Linked DNA regions of Xenopus tropicalis. The protein of the gene in region 1 interacts with the protein of each later gene in a biochemical or structural test. Links are inferred from orthologs where the notes say so. Each region holds a gene or a part of one and is shown on either strand. Other genes may lie near its edges. The genes, in order: cdc25c, chek1, cdk1, plk3 and pin1.

Region 1 (3,428 bases):
AAAATCTTCCTACCTAACTCAATCCAAACTGAATTAATTTTTACAAAAAATGGATGCAGTCAAACCGTCATAATTTCAATCAAAGGTACTTATACCCAAATCCACTCCTTGGACTTCATCTTAGTTTCACTCTGAAATGTTGATGCAGCATAGTTGCACCTAAAGGATCATGAAGTCTTTGAAACACTGAACGCTCAAAGCGATACCGGCCCCAAAATTATTCGCCTTCACTGCATCCAATTCGCAGTGAAGCATAATTGCACATGTTTTAATTCTTCAGTAGCAGTTACTGAAATTATATGAAAGACACTGCATTGTGAGTGAAAAAATGTCACACTGCATCCAAAAGTTCCCCTAACCTAGAGAATCCCAGATACCTGCGGTTGGCACTGGATGGCAGAATTGCACCATGGAACCATTTGGTGGCAGGATTTACATTCAGGAGCTGTGCTCATTTCTTCTTGCATTAGGTGTTGATCCAATAATGAGACATAAGACCACGTATTTTTCAAATAATCCATTGATTTACTATGTTTATCCTTGAAGATTGATTGCACTGGCTCACTTCCATTTTAACGCCCATTCAATGATTGGAGTGCCAGTCACACTAATGTCTTTATAAAGTGTACAATGCATTGATAAATATACAGCACCACCTAGTGAACTAATTCATACAAGAACTCCCAGCAATTAGCAGTACAGGTACCTTTTCATCACTTACTTTCTTACATACTGTTATTAAAGAGATCACAGTAAAAAAAATAAAAAGAAATTCACAGTGACAAAGATGTAAACAAGGTAATTTTTTGTCAACTTGTAGCAGTCTTGATGGTTGTAGTATAGGAAAATTAAAATTTTACGGAGTTTAGCAGCCCTGAGATTAAAGCTTCATCAGGCGGGCAATCTGTTCCCTTCTCTTTCTATCACCAACTGATGTCTTACATTTTGTCCGAAATTTCAGAAGCTCCTCCCGGAAATCCTGATGGTGCATTGGGCAGTAGCCCTGTGGCTCACATAGCTCCTGTTGGAGGGAAATCAAATATGACTCCTTTACTTAGAAAACAAAGAAGCTGGTATTCTTGAAGCAAACTGTCTTTTTCCAATTCAGTCAGTTTACATTAAGCTTGTATGACATTATTCTACCAGTGGCTCCAACAGTGGGGCTGCACCCACCCCAAGGGGTGCTTTAAAGGAATGGAATTGGGGAGGATGCCTATTTGCTCTCCTAGATAAATCTGAAACCCCAGGTTGAAGGCCAGTTAAGGTAAATATGTATATGCAGTTTGTGATATTATTGAAATTATGACTGAATAACTAACAATAGTTAGTTGAGGTATACATTTGTATAATTTCTACCAAGCCCAATAACACCTGGTTATTCTGTGACCCAGTGCAACAATGCTGACTTCTAGCAGTTAACACTACTGGTGGTATGCTAATAATGTATAAAAAAAAAAATACACCACTAAACTCAATAAATTGTATACAGACAGTAACAAAACACACTAGTACCTTGTATTCAGGAAAAAAATCCTTGTAACCGCCTTTAAGGAGATAAAGCTCTGGGTAATACAAGCCTGGGTACTCATTCCTGGCTCTGTCTTCCTCCCTAAGGAAGCGACACCTAAAATAAAACATTGAAAGAACTGACAGAAGCATGAGAGTGGAGACTCTCTGATACGTCTTTTACTAGATCATATTTACATTCAGTGACATTTATATGGTACACAAACCCACTCATTGTGTTGATAAGAGTCTTGATTGCTGGTTGCTAACAAGGCTCCTATACAAAAATGGTTTTCTAATTTTACATTATATTTAGGGGCAGATTTATTGCCCCTCGCTCTTTTTCCAAAAAACACAAGGCTCTGTCTTTACAAATCAGAAGCAAATTCTGGTGTTCAGAATACTGAATTCTTCCATTCAAAGGAAAGAATGGATTATGATGGTGGGGAAGGGCATGAATTTTGCTAGATTTTGGCCCAGAAACATTCATGCGTTTTTCTGGAGAAAATCTGCCAATCACCACTAGGCGACACTTCACACATGCTGTGATCCTAATGAAATGTTGCTTGCTCCCCTGAAATGTTGATGCACAGATGGTCACAATAAATGGGGAAAGCCCCCTGACTGCATAAAAATAGATTGTGTGCGGCTCCTTTTAGTATGTAGTGCAGTAAATTGTGGATTGTGTGGCTATAACTTGTATAGAAAACAGACCCTTCCTTGGCCATATGTCCTGAAAAATCATATGAAACCTGGTTTGTAGCACTTACTGCTTGCTCCACCTGGTGATCATATTGATAAGTTATATAGTCATCATATACAGTCAGCAGAAAAAAAACTAATGTCCCTCTTATGGATTTCTGAAAATAGAAATCCCAGTTTATTTGCTTTAAGAGGCTGACTATGGAGTCGTGTTCAGAATTCCACTACTTATCCAAACTTTATGAATACTTACATTTTTGGGCCTCTTTCAGAAGAGAACTCGCAATGAAAAACTATAATTAATCGCTTCTGTGCCACCGATGGAGCCAGAGGTTGTTTCAGGAAGTAGTCAGTTACTTCCTCTTGCCGGTGGAGGTTTAATGCACCCTTGTGACACCAAAATAAGAGTATTAGTTGCAGGGAAATGTTGCGAGAAATAAATAAAAAAGGAAATAAAACCACAGACTTTCTTCTAAAAGGAAAAAAAAGAGTGAGCCAAGTAGAAGAGGAACAAACAGAAGATTCAGGTTTACTATCATCAGCCACCAACTATCATCAGCTCACCTTGATGTGCCCGCCGTCATATTCATAAGGATAACGACAATCTATTATAAAGACATTCTCCACTAAACTGCTGAAGTCTCCATGAATTAAGGCTGCCAGCTGCAGAGTGAAAACTTAGTGCTTAGTGGAATTAGAAAAAATAAAACAAAAAAAAAAAAAGCCCACAGTAATCCCTACAATCCTCCTATTTAGGACATACGTTAGTGCTTTGTCTAAATCTTCGTGCAGTACATAAAAATTCACCTTGTGCACCTCCAGCAGGGCTAAAACTCCCTGTATGCTAGAAATGCTCAAAGCTATCACATATGCTGGGAGTCATAACCATCCCTACCCAATGTGTAGCTTAATTCAGCTTTACATTCTATGTTTATAAGTACAGGTATAGGACATATTATCCAGAATGCTCGAGACCAATGTTATTCCGGATAAGGGGTCTTTCCTTAATTTGGATCTCCTTACCTTAAGTCTACAAAAAAACATTAATTAAACCCTATAGGATTGTTTTGCATCCAATAAGGATTCATTATATCTTAGTTGGGATCAATTATAAGGTACTGCTTTTTTACTACAGAGAAAAAGGAAATCAGTTTTATTCTGAATTATTTGATTAAAATGGAGTCTATGGGAGACAGGCTTTCTGTAATTCAGAGCTTTTT
Region 2 (3,515 bases), on another chromosome or scaffold:
AAGTGTCCATCAAATTGCTGTACGAGCTTTCAGCATCCACTTTTGTAAAGAACCTGGTCATTCTTTTGACCAAACGTTGCCAAACATTCTACAGAATTAAGAAAAAAAACTAGGTTGGCAAAAATTGAATAGCACAGGCCATGTTAAAACTGCTAACCATGTAAAGTTGAAACAAATAGCACATGCAAACATCTATTTTCCAGGGCTGTGGAGTCGGTAGATAAATTCTCCGACTCCGACTCCTCAGTTTCTGATACTTCCGACTCCATGACTCTGACTCCTCTGTTTTTAATATGCTAATGTATTTTATACATCCAGGAAGGGGAAGGGGCACTTAAAACACAACTGAACTGATAATAAACTGATAGACAATTTTATCTATACTCCTACTTCTAATGATTTCCCTAGAATCCCATAGTCATGTTTAAAGTTTAAGCTAACATTACAGCTGAATTACAGCAGTTTTTCAAATGTTTTAAAGCTTCAGTCTTAAAGGAACAGTAACACCAAAAAATAAAAGAGCTGTAAAGTAATAAAAATATAATACACTGTTGCCCTGCTACCCTACTATAGTTTATATAAATACCCCGCTGTGTAGCCCCGGGGGCAGCCATTCCTGCACTGGTACAGCTGGGGTGTTTGCTACAGAAACCCTACTATGTCCCCATGGCTACACAGCAGGGTATTTATATAAACTATAGTAGGGTTTCTGTAGCAAACACCCCAGCTGTACCAGTGCAGGAATGGCTGCCCCGGGGCATTTATATAAACTATAGTAGGGTTTCTGTAGCAAACACCCCAGCTGTACCAGTGCAGGAATGGCTGCCCCCGGGGCATTTATATAAACTATAGTAGGGTTTCTGTAGCAAACACCCCAGCTGTACCAGTGCAGGAATGGCTGCCCCCGGGGCTACACCGCGGGGTATTTATATAAACTATAGTAGGGCTTCTGTAGCAAACACCCCAGCTGTACCAGTGCAGGAATGGCTGCCCCCGGGGCTACACAGCGCGGTATTTATATAAACTATAGTAGGGTTACTGTAGCAAACACCCCAGCTGTACCGGTGCAGGAATGGCTGCCCCCATACTACACAGCAGCTTATTTATATAAATTATAGTAGATTTTCTGAAGTAAACACACAGTGCAGAGAAGCAGATTATATTTTAGTTACTTTTATACACTTTCATTTTTTGTTGTTACTGTTCCTTTAAACTATTGACTACCCATTCCCTTCATGTATACAAGTATTTCTAGTCCTGCAAATTTTTTTCACTTAATTAGTTATCAGTGAGAGTTAGGCTGGGTTCACAGTGGGCATTGTGTTCCCAGTAACAGAGGAACACGACGCAGTGGAGCTGCCGCACCTTAACTGTGCGTTACGTCCCATTTAGTGAAGCATACAGTCAATGAAAAGCTTCATGGTCGCTCAACGTGTTCATTTATGCACTGCGTGCATTGGGCTTTATTCTTATAGCAGAGAAGTAATTAATTATGACTGTTTGTGAATTGGGACATTTAAATTTGCTTTATTTTTTTTTATTCCCATTTAAATTTAGTAGGAGTCGGAGTCGGTTCATTTTTTGCCGACTCCGACTCCAGGTACCCAAAATTGCCTCCGACTCAGACTCCACAGCCCTGCTATTTTCTAAACATTTTACACTATACAAACAGTTTTGCCACTGTTAAAAATTTCAAGATGTGACATTCACTTTACAGAGACAAAATTAAAAGCCTTTAAATGAGAAGGAAAAGTAAAAATCCCTGGGGGGGGGGGGGGGGGGGAGTGCCAGATATTAGGCATGATGTAGACCATAGCATTATAGGTGGTTTTAAGCTTTCTGTATGTTGTACATTACCATCCCTTATGCTTTTGCAGCTTCATAAAAAACAAATTACATTTAATTCAGTGCTGAAATCACAATCGAAAATTCAAAAACCAGCAAGCTTTGTTAAACAGAATACCCTATTTAATGGACATACATGGTTTTAATATTTTTCTTAATTTTGCTAAACCAAGAGAAAGAACAACTGTCTAAATATTATTTGTACAGTAATAAGCCATACCTGAGAGGAGCCTGGAGTACCAATTAACTGGCTGCTCAGAAGCATGTTTTCAGGACAGGCAGGCTGAGAGAAGCTGATGCCTTTTCCCTGCACCAAATTGTCTATATGAGAACCATTGCTGTCCCATGTTGCCAGTGCAGTCCGTGGCTCTGGCTGTGTACTAGAATATGCATTCTTCTCTTCACTAATTAGAAGAACAATTACAATTTATTAATTTAAAAAATATCCTCTAAAAAGCATCAAATTCATTAATACATTCATATTGTAAAAAAAGTTATTAATATTTCCTAAACACATGAAAGTCACATATGTGCATAGAGGACAACAAAGCTAAACATTTACTAAACCAAGGAACACTGGTTTTTCTGTCTTGGATAACCCATCATATGCTATGCCAATTCCCAGCTGTTTTTATCTATAAGCATTCTGTTTTTTTCTGTATATAATCAATGCCAATGCATCCTCCTTCCCTATCCTCTGTACTACAACATAGGGCTTTTTTGTTCATGAGCATCACTCCTGTGTTTTGCGCATACCCACTCCTGCCTGACACAGATGTGGCTCATCGACATTTACTACACAACTGCTTGAGATGCCTAAAGCTGATTTAACAATTGAAGTAGAAGATAACAAGGCCAAGGCCATAGGCACATCAAGCGTTGGCTCTGCTGCTCTCAGTTTGCAATTTTTCTGCAGGCTGATAGAAGCAGATTTGCTCCCAATTCCTTTTTTAGAATGATAACATATCTGAAATCTATACCTCTAACTTGACAGAAAATAAGAGCATGTTACTAAAGCTTGAGTAAACTATTGATGAAGGCATCCCTTCATAATTTTTATATAGTTTCATAAATGTTTATATTATGCTGTCTGAAGTATCACTAATCGTTTTACAGTCATAAATAAAAATTTAACTTAATTAACAAGGAAGCTAACCTGTGAGAGATGATTGAAATCTCCATATCTGATCGGATCTGCTTACAAAGCCCAGAAGAATCTGAAGTACCTCCAGAGAAAGCACGGCTTCTCTTAATCCCTATTTAGGAAAGCACAATTTTATAATAATGCAGTAAGTAGCATTACGTCATGACAACAGTACATGTTAAAATACAAGTAATTTTGGACAAACTATGTTAAAAGCATGCAGTACATAATACTGGTATGCAATACAGTGCCCAAAACTATCTATGTTAGAGTATAGAAATACCAGCAACAAACCTTTCTTGATTAATTCTGTGAACCAACGGTCCTTCTTTATGTCTGGAATGGTGATTCTGCTTTGTGGATTTTCTGTTAACATTTTACACAGCAATGCTATAAAAAAAAAAAAAAAAAAGTATAGACATTGGTCATGGCCATACAATGGACTACAATTAAAATTAAATTTGCAACTAAAGAATTAGTATGTAACATTTTAATCTAATTCCTAAATTCTTCTGATTTGTGTGCA
Region 3 (4,253 bases), on another chromosome or scaffold:
GAACAGCCCTATTGGGTTTATTTCATGGTTAAATGATTCCCTTTTCTCTGTAATAAGAAAACAGTACCTGTACTTGATCCCAACTAAGATATAATTACCCCTTATTGGGGGCAGAACAGCCCTATTGGGTTTATTTCATGGTTAAATGATTCCTTTTTCTCTGTAATAATAAAACAGTACCTGTACTTGATCCCAACTAAGATATAATTACCCCTTATTGGGGGCAGAACAGCCCTATTGGGTTTATTTAATGGTTAAATGATTCCCTTTTCTCTGTAATAATAAAACAGTACCTGTACTTGATCCCAACTAAGATATAATTACCCCTTATTGGGGGCAGAACATCCCTATTGGGTTTATTTCATGGTTAAATGATTCCCTTTTCTCTGTAATAATAATAAAACAGTATCTAGTATTGGGTTTATTTAATATTTAAATGATTTTTAGCAGATTTAAGTCATGGATAGGCCCTTATCCGGAAAACCTCAGGTCCCGAGCATTCTGGATAACAGGTCCCATACCCTAACTATGGTTAGCATTCAATTTGGGGGAACAGGGCAAGCTGCTATGGTGCATCAGGAGATTAGGAAGTAAAGGGCAACTGCTGTTCCTACACTTCCTGCTGTGTAAGCCCCCTAGCCCAGCGCCCTTCCTTTGGGCCTGAAGTGCCAGTACGCTTTCAAGCCAAGTACAGATACAAGGCAATGCAGAAAATGGAGAGTGGGGGGGACAGAAACCCATGAACTGTAGGAGCTTTACCCAGACAAGGCAAGGAATATACAAAAAACACACACCTACAATTAAAATAAATCATGGACTACATAGTTAGAGATCACGTCACAACCCCCGAATGTAAAAAATGAGCCAGCTGGGCACCCTGGTTGGCACCAAATATGCTCAGAATGCATGTTGTTCAGGCTGGACATAGATCCCTAATTATTTCTCACCAACATCATTGGCAAAATAAATTTAGATTCCATATGTCCCATGAAAAAAGCCCAGTGTGTATTTCGCCCTTTCAGGCTTCCTTGGCAGCACTTTGAGAAATGGGCAAGGAAAATGCCCATTTATATCCATTTTCTGTATATGACCCTGGGAGGTTCCCACACCTTTTGGGTTGACCCGGTATATAGCTTAGTACATATTGAGTGCATCAGGATATTGGGCGATTCTTCTCTTTATAGCTAGGCAATCTAGACAAAGAGGGTAATAAGGGGATGAACAGGGGCCTTTGTTGGATTGTACTAGTGCAGAGATAGAGAAACTAGAGCAGGGGGCTGCAGTTCTATAGCTGAGTAAGGGCACTGCAGGCCTCTGCTTTAGTACAAACTAATGTGGCTTTAGTTTCCCTTTAATGCCATTGATCTCCCTGACACTGAGTAAATCTGGTATAGACTGGCCATGTATATGCCAAATTCCCTACATAACTACAGAGCTGTGCCCCTTGCAGATTGTAAAGCACATCAATAGGCAAACTGGTTTGAGGACCCCCAGCCTCGCACATCAAGGCTTTAACTGTCCCTTTAACTGTCCGAACTGCAGAAGAATAATTAACAGAGTTCCCCCCCCCCCAAGGAGAAAAGTGCAGCACAACAATCATAACAGAATTCCCCTGTACTTACCCTCTCCGATCTTTTCTATTTTAGTGTACTCGTCCATGGCTGGTTCCTCAAGGCTGGATTCCTGCACAGAGGAGAAATAGAGATCACTCGTTTCAGGGATATCAGAAAAACAAACACATAACTAAAGCGCTGTCTGAGCCTATAGATATATATTTGTACTAGTAAAACAAACAGAAGCAGCCATTACAGTCCTAGTGATATACAAACTGTAGTTAAGCGGCGCCCCTCGGTGGCTGGGTTCTAATCAGAATAAGCAGCATTTCTGGTGCCCTACACATACGTGACAGCTGCCCCTGTGCTTTATACAGTATAATATACATCTGCTACTGTACAATAGCCCTTTAAGCTGCGGCAGCTGCCATACTGCTGTTCGGTGCATCATTCGAACGTTTCATCGTGACCAATCCCCGGCAGCCTTGCCTTACACTGCACCTCTGTTTGTTTCCAGTCTGGTCACTATTATGCCCTGTCCCCATCACATTACAATGGGACCCTGGCTTCCTACCCCCCTGCCGCCTTAGTAACCCAATATACATTATGGCACCAACCCCATAGTAACAGGCAGCAGAACAGCCCTATGCTGGGTGCCTAATATAAAGCTGTCAAACCTGCTGCTGAACTGCACCTCTATCCCCAGATATGATTAAGCAGTTGCAGTTAGAGTCTCATAATCCTGCTGTTGTTGAACTATAACTAGCAGCTCTGTAAGTCTATGGCTGGCAGTTGTGACTCCCCCAGCCCTTTTCTGCACCTTAACTAGTTACTAGCCAGCCCTACAGCAATAGCACTTAAGCTTAGGTGCCCAGATATGGACTACAAGTCCCAGCATCCCCCACAAACACAATCAATGCAGTCTGCAAGCTCAGCCGATGGAATTGAAATGTCTGGAGATTTAAAGGGCCTGAGGGGGCAGATCTAATGAGTGACAGCCCCTGCATGATTACACAGGGGGCAATTAAATGGCTGTAATCAGACAGGTGCGTCCATCTCCGACCCCTGAGTCCCTGTGTAGGGTGATACTCGGCACCCATAGCACGTACTCTGCAGCCAGGGCAAGCAAAATGCAGAAAAGTACCCCCTACAGCCCTTTCCCCCCTTACCTGCCCCAGCAGCTTACCCAGCAAACCCTCCGGCAGAACAAAGCCCCCCGTTTAACTCCCAGAGCCCAAGAGGCCTTTCCCCCTCGCCTACCTCAGCTTCCTTCTGCTAAAGCTGCAGCTTGCCTAACAGAGAGATTTCAAACCAACCGCGCAAAGCGCTGTCCAAGCCTAACCCAATCACTGCGGCCGTGGATATTCAAAGCGGCCAATAAGAATCAGGCAGCGGTGACGGCGCGAAGGAAGCTGGGAAGGGCGGGTAGCTAAAACAGCAGCGGGCGGGGACGTGATGTGGATAAAATCCTAGAGACCTGTTTGCGTGACTCGGCTAGGAACAGAAGTGGTCGGGCGGCTAGCTTTGTATACTGATTTAATCTAATATCCGGGAAGTGCAGTGTCTATAGCGGCACAGGGATTTCACTCAATAACAAATAAAGTAGTAAAACATAAGGTAAAAGGGGGTCCCTTAGGGTGGAGACACACAGAGCTACTAGTAGGAGCTACTTTGTCATGGGTACTATATACCAGAAAATACACTGCCATAGACAATACTGAGAATTGCCTCTGCTAAAACACACACACACATATATATATATATATATATATATATATAGAAATAATTATCAATAAATGATCTGCATTGTCTATTTTAGTAGCTGTGGCAAGTAGCTGCTACTAGTAGCTCTGTGTGTCTGACCTGAAACCTCAGTAAACTACAACTCCCAGCAACCCCCACAAAGCATTTGGCTATTAGAGGGCTTCAGCAAGAGCCGGAGGGCAGCAGAGTAGGCATATGTGTTACAAAATATAATTCCTGTGTGCCCACATGCACCCCCTTGGCCATTCTGATTAGTGATCAGGGTTCTCCCATGGGTTGGGAGAACATTGCTGGGTTGGGTGCAGGTCGTGGGCAGGGCGAGATGTGGGTGCAGGTCAACATTTTGCAGGTTAGGGCCAATTCACCCTATATGGGACAGTGCTAAAGATCTCCAGGGCTGTGGGATACAATAGCGTCACTGTACTCAAGAAATAGTAGCTAGGGTTTCCATCTGGCCATTCACTGGAGCACTGGTGGGCTCCAGTGAATATCACTTTATTAGCTGTAAAGAGGACCACAGGAATTCACACTAACAACAGCAGGGGCTGTTCCTGCTGAATTGTGCTTAGTACAGGGGAATCCCTATGCTGCCATAGTTTTATGGTATCTCTCTGTACAGGCTATGAGCAAACTTAGGGGGCTGTTCCTGCTGAATTGTGCTTAGTACAGGGGAATCCCTATGCTGCCATAGTTTTATGGTATCTCTCTGTACAGGCTATGAGCAAACTTAGGGGGCTGTTCCTGCTGAATTGTGCTTAGTACAGGGGAATCCCTATGCTGCCATAGTTTTATGGTATCTCTCTGTATAGGCTTTGAGCAAATTTAAGGGGCTGTTCCTGCTGAATTGTGCTTAGTACAGGGTAATCCCTATGCTGCATAGTTTTATAGTATCTCTCTGTACAGGCTATGAGCAAACTTAGGGGGCGGTTCCTGCTG
Region 4 (3,515 bases), on another chromosome or scaffold:
TTTGCTTACCATCACTACTGCTGACCAAACTGCCACGGATAGAACGTGACACAGATTTCCCAGAAGCTTCTTCTGTCAAAGTGTCCACAGGACTGGAGTTGGCACTTACAGCATGACTAGTTACTGGGGCAACCTAATTACAAAGAGCATAGAAAACATGCGTAAGGGTGGGGCTTTCCACATTACTCAAAACTATACAGGACAAACTATTTTTTGATAAGCCAGTTGCCTTCCTTTGGGATTATAGTTGATATTTTTATTGTTAGGTAGGAAATTTTCCAAATCTTTTCTAATCTAGTACCCAGGGACTCCAACTTTATTACCAAATACATGTCAGTTTACCTCATTCCCATCCACAGTCTTATAACTCAGCTGTCTGCAGATGGACGTTTTAACCAGTCCTGTGACTATCTTAGAAATATCATCTTTCTCCTCAGTGGGACTTTTCTTTGCTGCAAAAATAAAAAAAACCACAATAATAAGAAAGTGTCCACAAGCCTCCTGACTGTCAAGAAAACCTGTGCATTTCTTTTTAACCACTTCACCGCAAATTCAAATATTTGTGTTTTCTAGACTTCTGAAGGACACACCTATAGTAATCCCGTCCTTCAGTTCAGTGTCCTAAGTTTAAACATGACCTAGTTTGTTACCTAAAACAAATTCACCATAAAGGGACAAAGACCGTTCAGACTACTGCACATTTATCTATGTCAATAGTTATCTGCAGTCTACATGATAATACATAAAAAAAAAAAAAAGTGATAATAGTAAATACATACTTTTTGATTTGGTTTTGCCAAACAAGCTTTTGGCAACTTTAGTGAAGAGGCTCTTTGCAGGATTGGGAGGATGTAGGTCAGGGACCATCACACAGCTGCTTGGGGGAAGCTTGTCTGGAGTATAACCCTTAAACAAATAAATAAGTTTGAAATATGGTTAACCGCTTTCTCATTGCAATAAATGTGACTTCTATTCCACTGCTATCAGACAATACCTTTGTGAAGAATTCATGTTCTAGAATCTGGTCAAGTGTAAGTCGCTCTCCAGGGGTGCGTTTTAGGATTCCCATGAGAAGGTGTTTGGCAGCAGAGGACAGACATGCTGGTAAGGTATATTTCACCTGTTTGATACAGCGGTAGGTCTCCTTTAGATCTGAGGTCTCAAACGGTGGAGTGCCACAGAGCAAGGTATACCTAAAAGCAGTAACAATACATGTAAAAGTTTGCCACATTAAGAGTAAAGCATCAATAGTCTAAAGGTTTTGCACATTGGCATTATTGGTAAAATAAAAACCAAGGTTGAAAAGAAAATGGGCGATTCACAAGTGGAACAAAGTTGCAATTGCATTCTGGTTTCCCTGTGCAAAATAAATTTGCTCACACCACTGTACTGGTGTACAACCGTGAAAGTTAGCTGCACTGCAACCATAAAAAGTATAATACATGGCACTAAATGCATAATAGTTGTGCAAGACTCCACCTACGCCTTAGGCAATGGGTCTTAGAATGGTTTTAGCCCCACAAACAGCAGAAAGAACTTTCCATGTCTCTCCTGTTATGCTCTATGAGTGTCACTTGTCCGATTGCACTAGCACATGAGAGATTTTCACCAGAGAAGCATAGATTGCAGCTAATGGTCTTTTTAAAAAAAGTGCCAATTGAGCATTTAGGCCAAGTCTTTGGCCCTACTAAAAAACAGCAGGCAACACAATTGAAACTGCCCCATGTGCCATTGCCCCAAGGGCACAATTAGAAAAACTACTTGTTTTCCTATAAAACCATATTTGGCAGTCATGCAAAGCAAAAGGAACCAAAAAAATATAAAATGCCAAGGTGTAGTAATTGGGGGAAGATTTGGATGAATGATTGCTTGCTGTTCAGGATAGTCCCAAAAGGATATTAAACATAAGCCCCATTACTCTTCAAATGCCAATAGCAAGCTTGCACTTTAAAAGGGTACAGTGACAGGAACAAACAAAAAAAAAACACACACAACAACTTACATGACACATCCTAGAGACCATATGTCAGATTCAGGTCCATGCCCCTGCCTGTAAAGAACTTCAGGTGCCAAGTAGTTTGGTGTTCCACATATGGTCCTTTTTTAAAAAAACAAAACACACACATTATAAAGTCAGTTAGATATGAACTCTTAGGATAATGTCCCACGATAGATATCTGCTACCACGGTCAACTAATCTCTCCGAAATACCATTCCACCAGCAACAACTGGAATCGCCCCTTTGTTGCCAGTGGAATGGCATTTCAGAGAGATTAGTCGCCCACAGTAGCAGAGATCTATCGTGGACAACAATATCTCTGTGGGACACAAGTGATCAAGACCATCTAGGTACATTAAGCTAATCACTGGAGTTTTGTTAACTTTACTGCACACTGCATACTTAGAGCCTGAAAAGAATGCATTGTTCAAGCAAGAATTTTGGCAAGCTTACAGAAGACTTCACAACCTCACTAATCATTCACCCAATAAAAATATATTCTAAATATCTTTTAACTACCAGCAGTGTTTGAGAGCCAAATGCAAAAAAAAAAATAAATAAAAATTTTTTTTTACTTCTTTCTCTGCTCAGGGGGCTCCAAACGGGCAGCTAATCCGAAGTCACCAACTTTTAGTTCCATGCTCTCATTGATGAAGAAATTACCTGTATCAAAAAAAAATGATGACTTTTAGTCAGGTATTCCAAATGCATTAATTATATATTATATATAATATATTTCTCATTATATATAAGAGAAATGTATGTATTTTAAAAGGTCTGCGTACCTAGTTTCAAGTCTCTGTGCAGGATGCCTTTAAGGTGCAGATACTTCAACCCAGAAATGATCTGCTTCAAAAAATACCGCACTTCTGGTTCCAGTAGTGTGTGCCGGGCTTTCCAGATGTGGGCAAGAGACTAAACAGGAGCAAACCATTTTGAACAGTTAATAGCATGGGAAAAAAAAAAAAAAAAAAGCAGCTAGAATTTACATAAAAAGGCAACCCTCAGGATAAGAATGTTCCCACTCAGGGAATAAATAAAACTACCAATAACTCCTCAAACTGAACATAGTCCTTTAGATTTAATAAAGCGATTACTAGCACCATATCAAAATATATGGGAATCTTTAGAAAACTACATTAAGAAAATCCCAAAAAAAAAAAAAAAAAAAATAGGGGCAGAGCAGCTGGTTGTCATTTTTTTGGAAGCCAGACTACATATTCTGTTTAGGTTTAAGACAGCTTCTCTATTAAGGGGTATATTTATCATGCTGTGTAAAAAGTGGAGTAAAACATCATCGGTGATGTTGCTCATAGCAGCCAATCAGATGCGTTGCCTTGATTTTCTAACTGTTGAAATCTAATTGCCGATTGGGCAACATCACCGGTAATGCTTTACTCCACTTTTTACACAGCATGATAACTATAGCCCTTTAGTAAGCTACCGGTCATGGCTTAGAAAAAAAAAAAAAAAAAAAAAAAAAAAAACACAAGGGTTTAAATGCCTTACCTCTCAT
Region 5 (3,963 bases), about 89 Mb from region 1:
GGGGACAGCTATATTGATTATAAAGTACAGCAAGAGTATCTAGTACACAGGCAGTAAAGTAAAGCCAAAGTTTGCTATGTCAAAAGAACATTTATTCCCTGCTTACGTCTATACTCACAAGCAGCCATAACTGGGTATAAAAAAAAAAGCAGGAGAATTCATAGCATAGCGTTACTCATACATTAACATATCTGCTCATTTGATCTGAGCCAGATCGGATTGTTCAGATTGACTGGCTTCTGGGCCAATAAAAAGCAGATTCTAAAATGGCCCTATGCAGACCCATTAGTCAAGGACAACATAAACGCACTAATTCAGTTCTCGTCACCATACATGCATTTATGTATAATTTTTTTGTAAATAGTGCTACTTATGAATGCAGCACTGTACATGGGCCAATAAGCTGCAAACGATCTCTCCCTACTATTATCCCCCCACCGCTACTATAGGCACCATCTCTCCCTACTATACCTGCTATCCCACAGCCCCAGTCCCTTCCCAGAGGCTATTATCCCCCCACTGCTACTATAGGCACCATCTCTCCCTACTATACCTGCTATCCCACAGCCCCAGTCCCTTCCCAGAGGCTATTATCCCCCCACTGCTACTATAGGCACCATCTCTCCCTACTATACCTGCTATCCCACAGCCCCAGTCCCTTCCCAGAGGCTATTATCCCCCCCCCCCACTGCTACTATAGGCACCATCTCTCCCTACTATACCTGCTATCCCACAGCCCCTTCCCAGAGGCTATTATCCCCCCACTGCTACTATAGGCACCATCTCTCCCTACTATACCTGCTATCCCACAGCCACAGTCCCTTCCCAGAGGCTATTATCCCCCCACTGCTACTATAAGCACCATCTCTCCCTACTATTCCTGCTATCCCACAGCCCCAGTCCCTTCCCAGAGGCTATTATCCCACTGCTACTATAGGCACCATCTCTCCCTACTATACCTGCTATCCCACAGCCCCAGTCCCTTCCCAGAGGCTCTCTCTCCCTACTATATCTGCTATCCCACAGCCCCAGTCCCTTCCCAGAGGCTATTATCCCCCACTGCTACTATAGGCACCATCTCTCCCTACTATACCTGCTATCCCACAGCCACAGTCCCTTCCCAGAGGCTATTATCCCCCCACTGCTACTATAAGCACCATCTCTCCCTACTATTCCTGCTATCCCACAGCCCCAGTCCCTTCCCAGAGGCTATTATCCCACTGCTACTATAGGCACCATCTCTCCCTACTATACCTGCTATCCCACAGCCACAGTCCCTTCCCAGAGGCTATTATCCCCCCACTGCTACTATAAGCACCATCTCTCCCTACTATTCCTGCTATCCCACAGCCCCAGTCCCTTCCCAGAGGCTATTATCCCACTGCTACTATAGGCACCGTCTCTCCCTACTATACCTGCTATCCCACAGCCCCAGTCCCTTCCCAGAGGCTCTCTCTCCCTACTATACCTGCTATCCCACAGCCCCAGTCCCTTTCCAGAGGCTATTATCCCCCCACTGCTACTATAGGCACCATCTCTCCCTACTATACCTGCTATCCCACAGCCCCAGTCCCTTCCCAGAGGCTCTCTCTCCCTACTATACCTGCTATCCCACAGCCCCAGTCCCTTCCCAGAGGCTCTCTCTCCCTACTATACCTGCTATCCCACAGCCCCAGTCCCTTCCCAGAGGCTATTACCCCCCCCACTGCTACTATAGGCACCATCTCTCCCTACTATACCTGCTATCCCACAGCCCCAGTCCCTTCCCAGAGGCTATTACCCCCCCACTGCTACTATAGGCACCATCTCTCCCTACTATACCTGCTATCCCACAGCCCCAGTCCCTTCCCAGAGGCTATTACCCCCCCACTGCTACTATAGGCACCATCTCTCCCTACTATACCTGCTATCCCACAGCCCCAGTCCCTTCCCAGAGTCTATTATCCCCCCCACTGCTACTATAGGCACCATCTCTCCCTACTATACCTGCTATCCCACAGCCCCAGTCCCTTCCCAGAGGCTATTATCGCCCCACTGCTACTATAGGCACCATCTCTCCCTACTATACCTGCTATCCCACAGCCCCAGTCCCTTCCCAGAGGCTATTACCCCCCACTGCTACTATAGGCACCATCTCTCCCTACTATACCTGCTATCCCACAGCCCCAGTCCCTTCCCAGAGGCTATTATCCCCCCACTGCTACTATAGGCACCATCTCTCCCTACTATACCACGGCCCTTTCCCAGGGGCCACTGTACTAATTTAGGCCCCACTAAGGATCTCTGAAGGGCCTTGCCTGCTTGGCTCCTGACTGAAGACCATTCCCGAGCAGGATACATACAATACATAGCCACAAGGCACCATGTTAATCACAGACACATCAGCATCTAAGCAGGAACAGATCGAACTCTGACACAAATGACACTGAACAGATAGGTGCAGATACTAGGGCACCAGTCATGGCCCCATACAGTAGCAGAAGCAGTCAATGCTTAGCATTTCTTAGTCTGTTTACAGGCGACTAAATACTATAATGCGCAATGCAAAGTGGGAATTGTAGTTCTGCAGCTTTGCAACAGCACCTTTATCAGGACGCTATGCACAGTGCAAGACACAATAAAATAGGAACAGCTACAAAGCAAACCAGCGCTGCACTAACTCTATATAACAACTGTGCCCGCTACACTCCATATACCCGAGCTTCGACTCATGCGCTTCTCCCACCCGGGCGGTAGCTTCTCCTCGTCCGCCATCTTTCCCTCCTGCGTCAGGCCAAGCCCCGCCTACACAAACCACTCCGTCAGCTCGGCGCTTCTCATTGGTTAAGTCCCTGCTAAGCTTTTAGCCATTAAGCTAACTAATCTGCCGACGACGTAGTCAGCCTGAAAACCGAAAGCAAGGGCGGGAAATGATATGCGCCCACTATTGGCTGTAACGGAATAAACGGAGTAATTAATAAAACAAGGGGCGGGGCTGAGAGGTTGTACGCATTGGCAGCAGTATGACGCATGCGCAGAAATGTGTTCGCGTCTCTCTCTATTCTTACGCATTAAAATTGCTCTCACAAGCATGGGTGGCAGGTTAGCGGTTTTTCTGCCAAATTGGGCTACTAATTTAAAGCCCTGGTTTGTTTTTAAATTACAAACCCGCCAAAGTACCGTTTTGGACTAGTTTTTGGAGCCTTGGCGGGTTTGTAGTTTGGAACCTAGCCAGTTTTTTCCCCTAGTGTGCTTGTTCCACTGCATGCTGGGTAATGTAGTTTGTAGCTAACAATTAGCCTACAACTAGGAGTAATATAAAACTACAATACCCAGCTTGCAATTGGGCAGTTTAGCCAGAGGCTCCGTTTTCTATTCCTTTTTGCTCTTTCAGGCTCAACCTGTATGTTCTGCTCCCTGCTCTATAGGGTATGTGATGTGGGGGCAGGTCTGTAGTTATCTTGGGGCTGCTGAGAGTTGTAGTTGAACGCACCCATATTTATAAGTCTGGGGTTAATGCAAGATTCTGAATCTATTTCTGTAGCGACTTCCCAGCTGGACTGGGCACAGAGGGCAGGGAATTATCAGCCATTCCAGTAACTGGGTAGTGATTATATGCTTTAAAAAGGCAGGTTTTCCCATATGTACTTTTATTTTTGTAGAATTTTTTTCATTGCACATTGGGCTATTTTTGGGTTACTTTCAAAGTGGGTTTGGACTAGTATTTCACTGGTTTTAGAACTGACTGGCGATTTGGAAAAATAAATCTGGCAATTTCACATACAACCTTCCCTGGTGGTCTAGTGGTTAGGATTCGGCGCTCTCACCGCCGCGGCCCGGGTTCGATTCCCGGTCAGGGAAAGTGTGTTTTGCTTAATTGTAACAACAGCCCTTTATTTTATTGCTCAATCGTTTTTATAACAGCAGCCATTATTAAAAAAAAGCTTGCCAGCTTTATATATAATATAGAATAAAATAAAGATG

What was found.
Region 2: of the proteins of cdc25c (region 1) and chek1, one has a biochemical effect on the other in vitro, tested with the Homo sapiens proteins (16 studies listed by BioGRID and IntAct, with this or other methods). The link is inferred for Xenopus tropicalis from reciprocal best matches to the Homo sapiens genes CDC25C and CHEK1.
Region 3: the proteins of cdc25c (region 1) and cdk1 form a complex in vitro, tested with the Homo sapiens proteins (3 studies listed by BioGRID, with this or other methods). The link is inferred for Xenopus tropicalis from reciprocal best matches to the Homo sapiens genes CDC25C and CDK1.
Region 4: of the proteins of cdc25c (region 1) and plk3, one has a biochemical effect on the other in vitro, tested with the Homo sapiens proteins (2 studies listed by BioGRID, with this or other methods). The link is inferred for Xenopus tropicalis from reciprocal best matches to the Homo sapiens genes CDC25C and PLK3.
Region 5: the proteins of cdc25c (region 1) and pin1 interact in a test that uses a peptide from one of them, tested with the Homo sapiens proteins (2 studies listed by BioGRID, with this or other methods). The link is inferred for Xenopus tropicalis from reciprocal best matches to the Homo sapiens genes CDC25C and PIN1.

The regions. Positions count from the first base shown.
Region 1 is NC_030679.2:47,982,880-47,986,307, forward strand, and holds the end of cdc25c (M-phase inducer phosphatase 3), read right to left. Parts: intron 2,872-3,428; coding exon 2,773-2,871; intron 2,596-2,772; coding exon 2,462-2,595; intron 1,625-2,461; coding exon 1,513-1,624; intron 1,022-1,512; coding exon 881-1,021; 3' UTR 503-880; downstream 1-502. UniProt on the Homo sapiens protein: Functions as a dosage-dependent inducer in mitotic control. Tyrosine protein phosphatase required for progression of the cell cycle. When phosphorylated, highly effective in activating G2 cells into prophase.
Region 2 is NC_030683.2:74,049,172-74,052,686, forward strand, and holds part of chek1 (serine/threonine-protein kinase Chk1), read right to left. Parts: intron 3,380-3,515; coding exon 3,284-3,379; intron 3,102-3,283; coding exon 3,002-3,101; intron 2,250-3,001; coding exon 2,066-2,249; intron 89-2,065; coding exon 1-88. UniProt on the Homo sapiens protein: Serine/threonine-protein kinase which is required for checkpoint-mediated cell cycle arrest and activation of DNA repair in response to the presence of DNA damage or unreplicated DNA.
Region 3 is NC_030683.2:16,801,148-16,805,400, reverse strand, and holds the start of cdk1 (cyclin-dependent kinase 1), read right to left. Parts: upstream 2,806-4,253; 5' UTR 2,740-2,805; exon of another isoform or gene 2,723-2,739; intron 1,684-2,722; 5' UTR 1,660-1,683; coding exon 1,623-1,659; intron 1-1,622. UniProt on the Homo sapiens protein: Plays a key role in the control of the eukaryotic cell cycle by modulating the centrosome cycle as well as mitotic onset; promotes G2-M transition via association with multiple interphase cyclins.
Region 4 is NC_030680.2:90,881,775-90,885,289, forward strand, and holds part of plk3 (serine/threonine-protein kinase PLK3), read right to left. Parts: intron 2,915-3,515; coding exon 2,785-2,914; intron 2,663-2,784; coding exon 2,575-2,662; intron 2,099-2,574; coding exon 2,003-2,098; intron 1,194-2,002; coding exon 995-1,193; intron 907-994; coding exon 780-906; intron 453-779; coding exon 343-452; intron 134-342; coding exon 10-133; intron 1-9. UniProt on the Homo sapiens protein: Serine/threonine-protein kinase involved in cell cycle regulation, response to stress and Golgi disassembly. Polo-like kinases act by binding and phosphorylating proteins that are already phosphorylated on a specific motif recognized by the POLO box domains.
Region 5 is NC_030679.2:136,780,422-136,784,384, forward strand, and holds the start of pin1 (peptidyl-prolyl cis-trans isomerase NIMA-interacting 1), read right to left. Parts: upstream 2,804-3,963; 5' UTR 2,755-2,803; coding exon 2,697-2,754; exon of another isoform or gene 2,661-2,696; intron 1-2,660. UniProt on the Homo sapiens protein: Peptidyl-prolyl cis/trans isomerase (PPIase) that binds to and isomerizes specific phosphorylated Ser/Thr-Pro (pSer/Thr-Pro) motifs.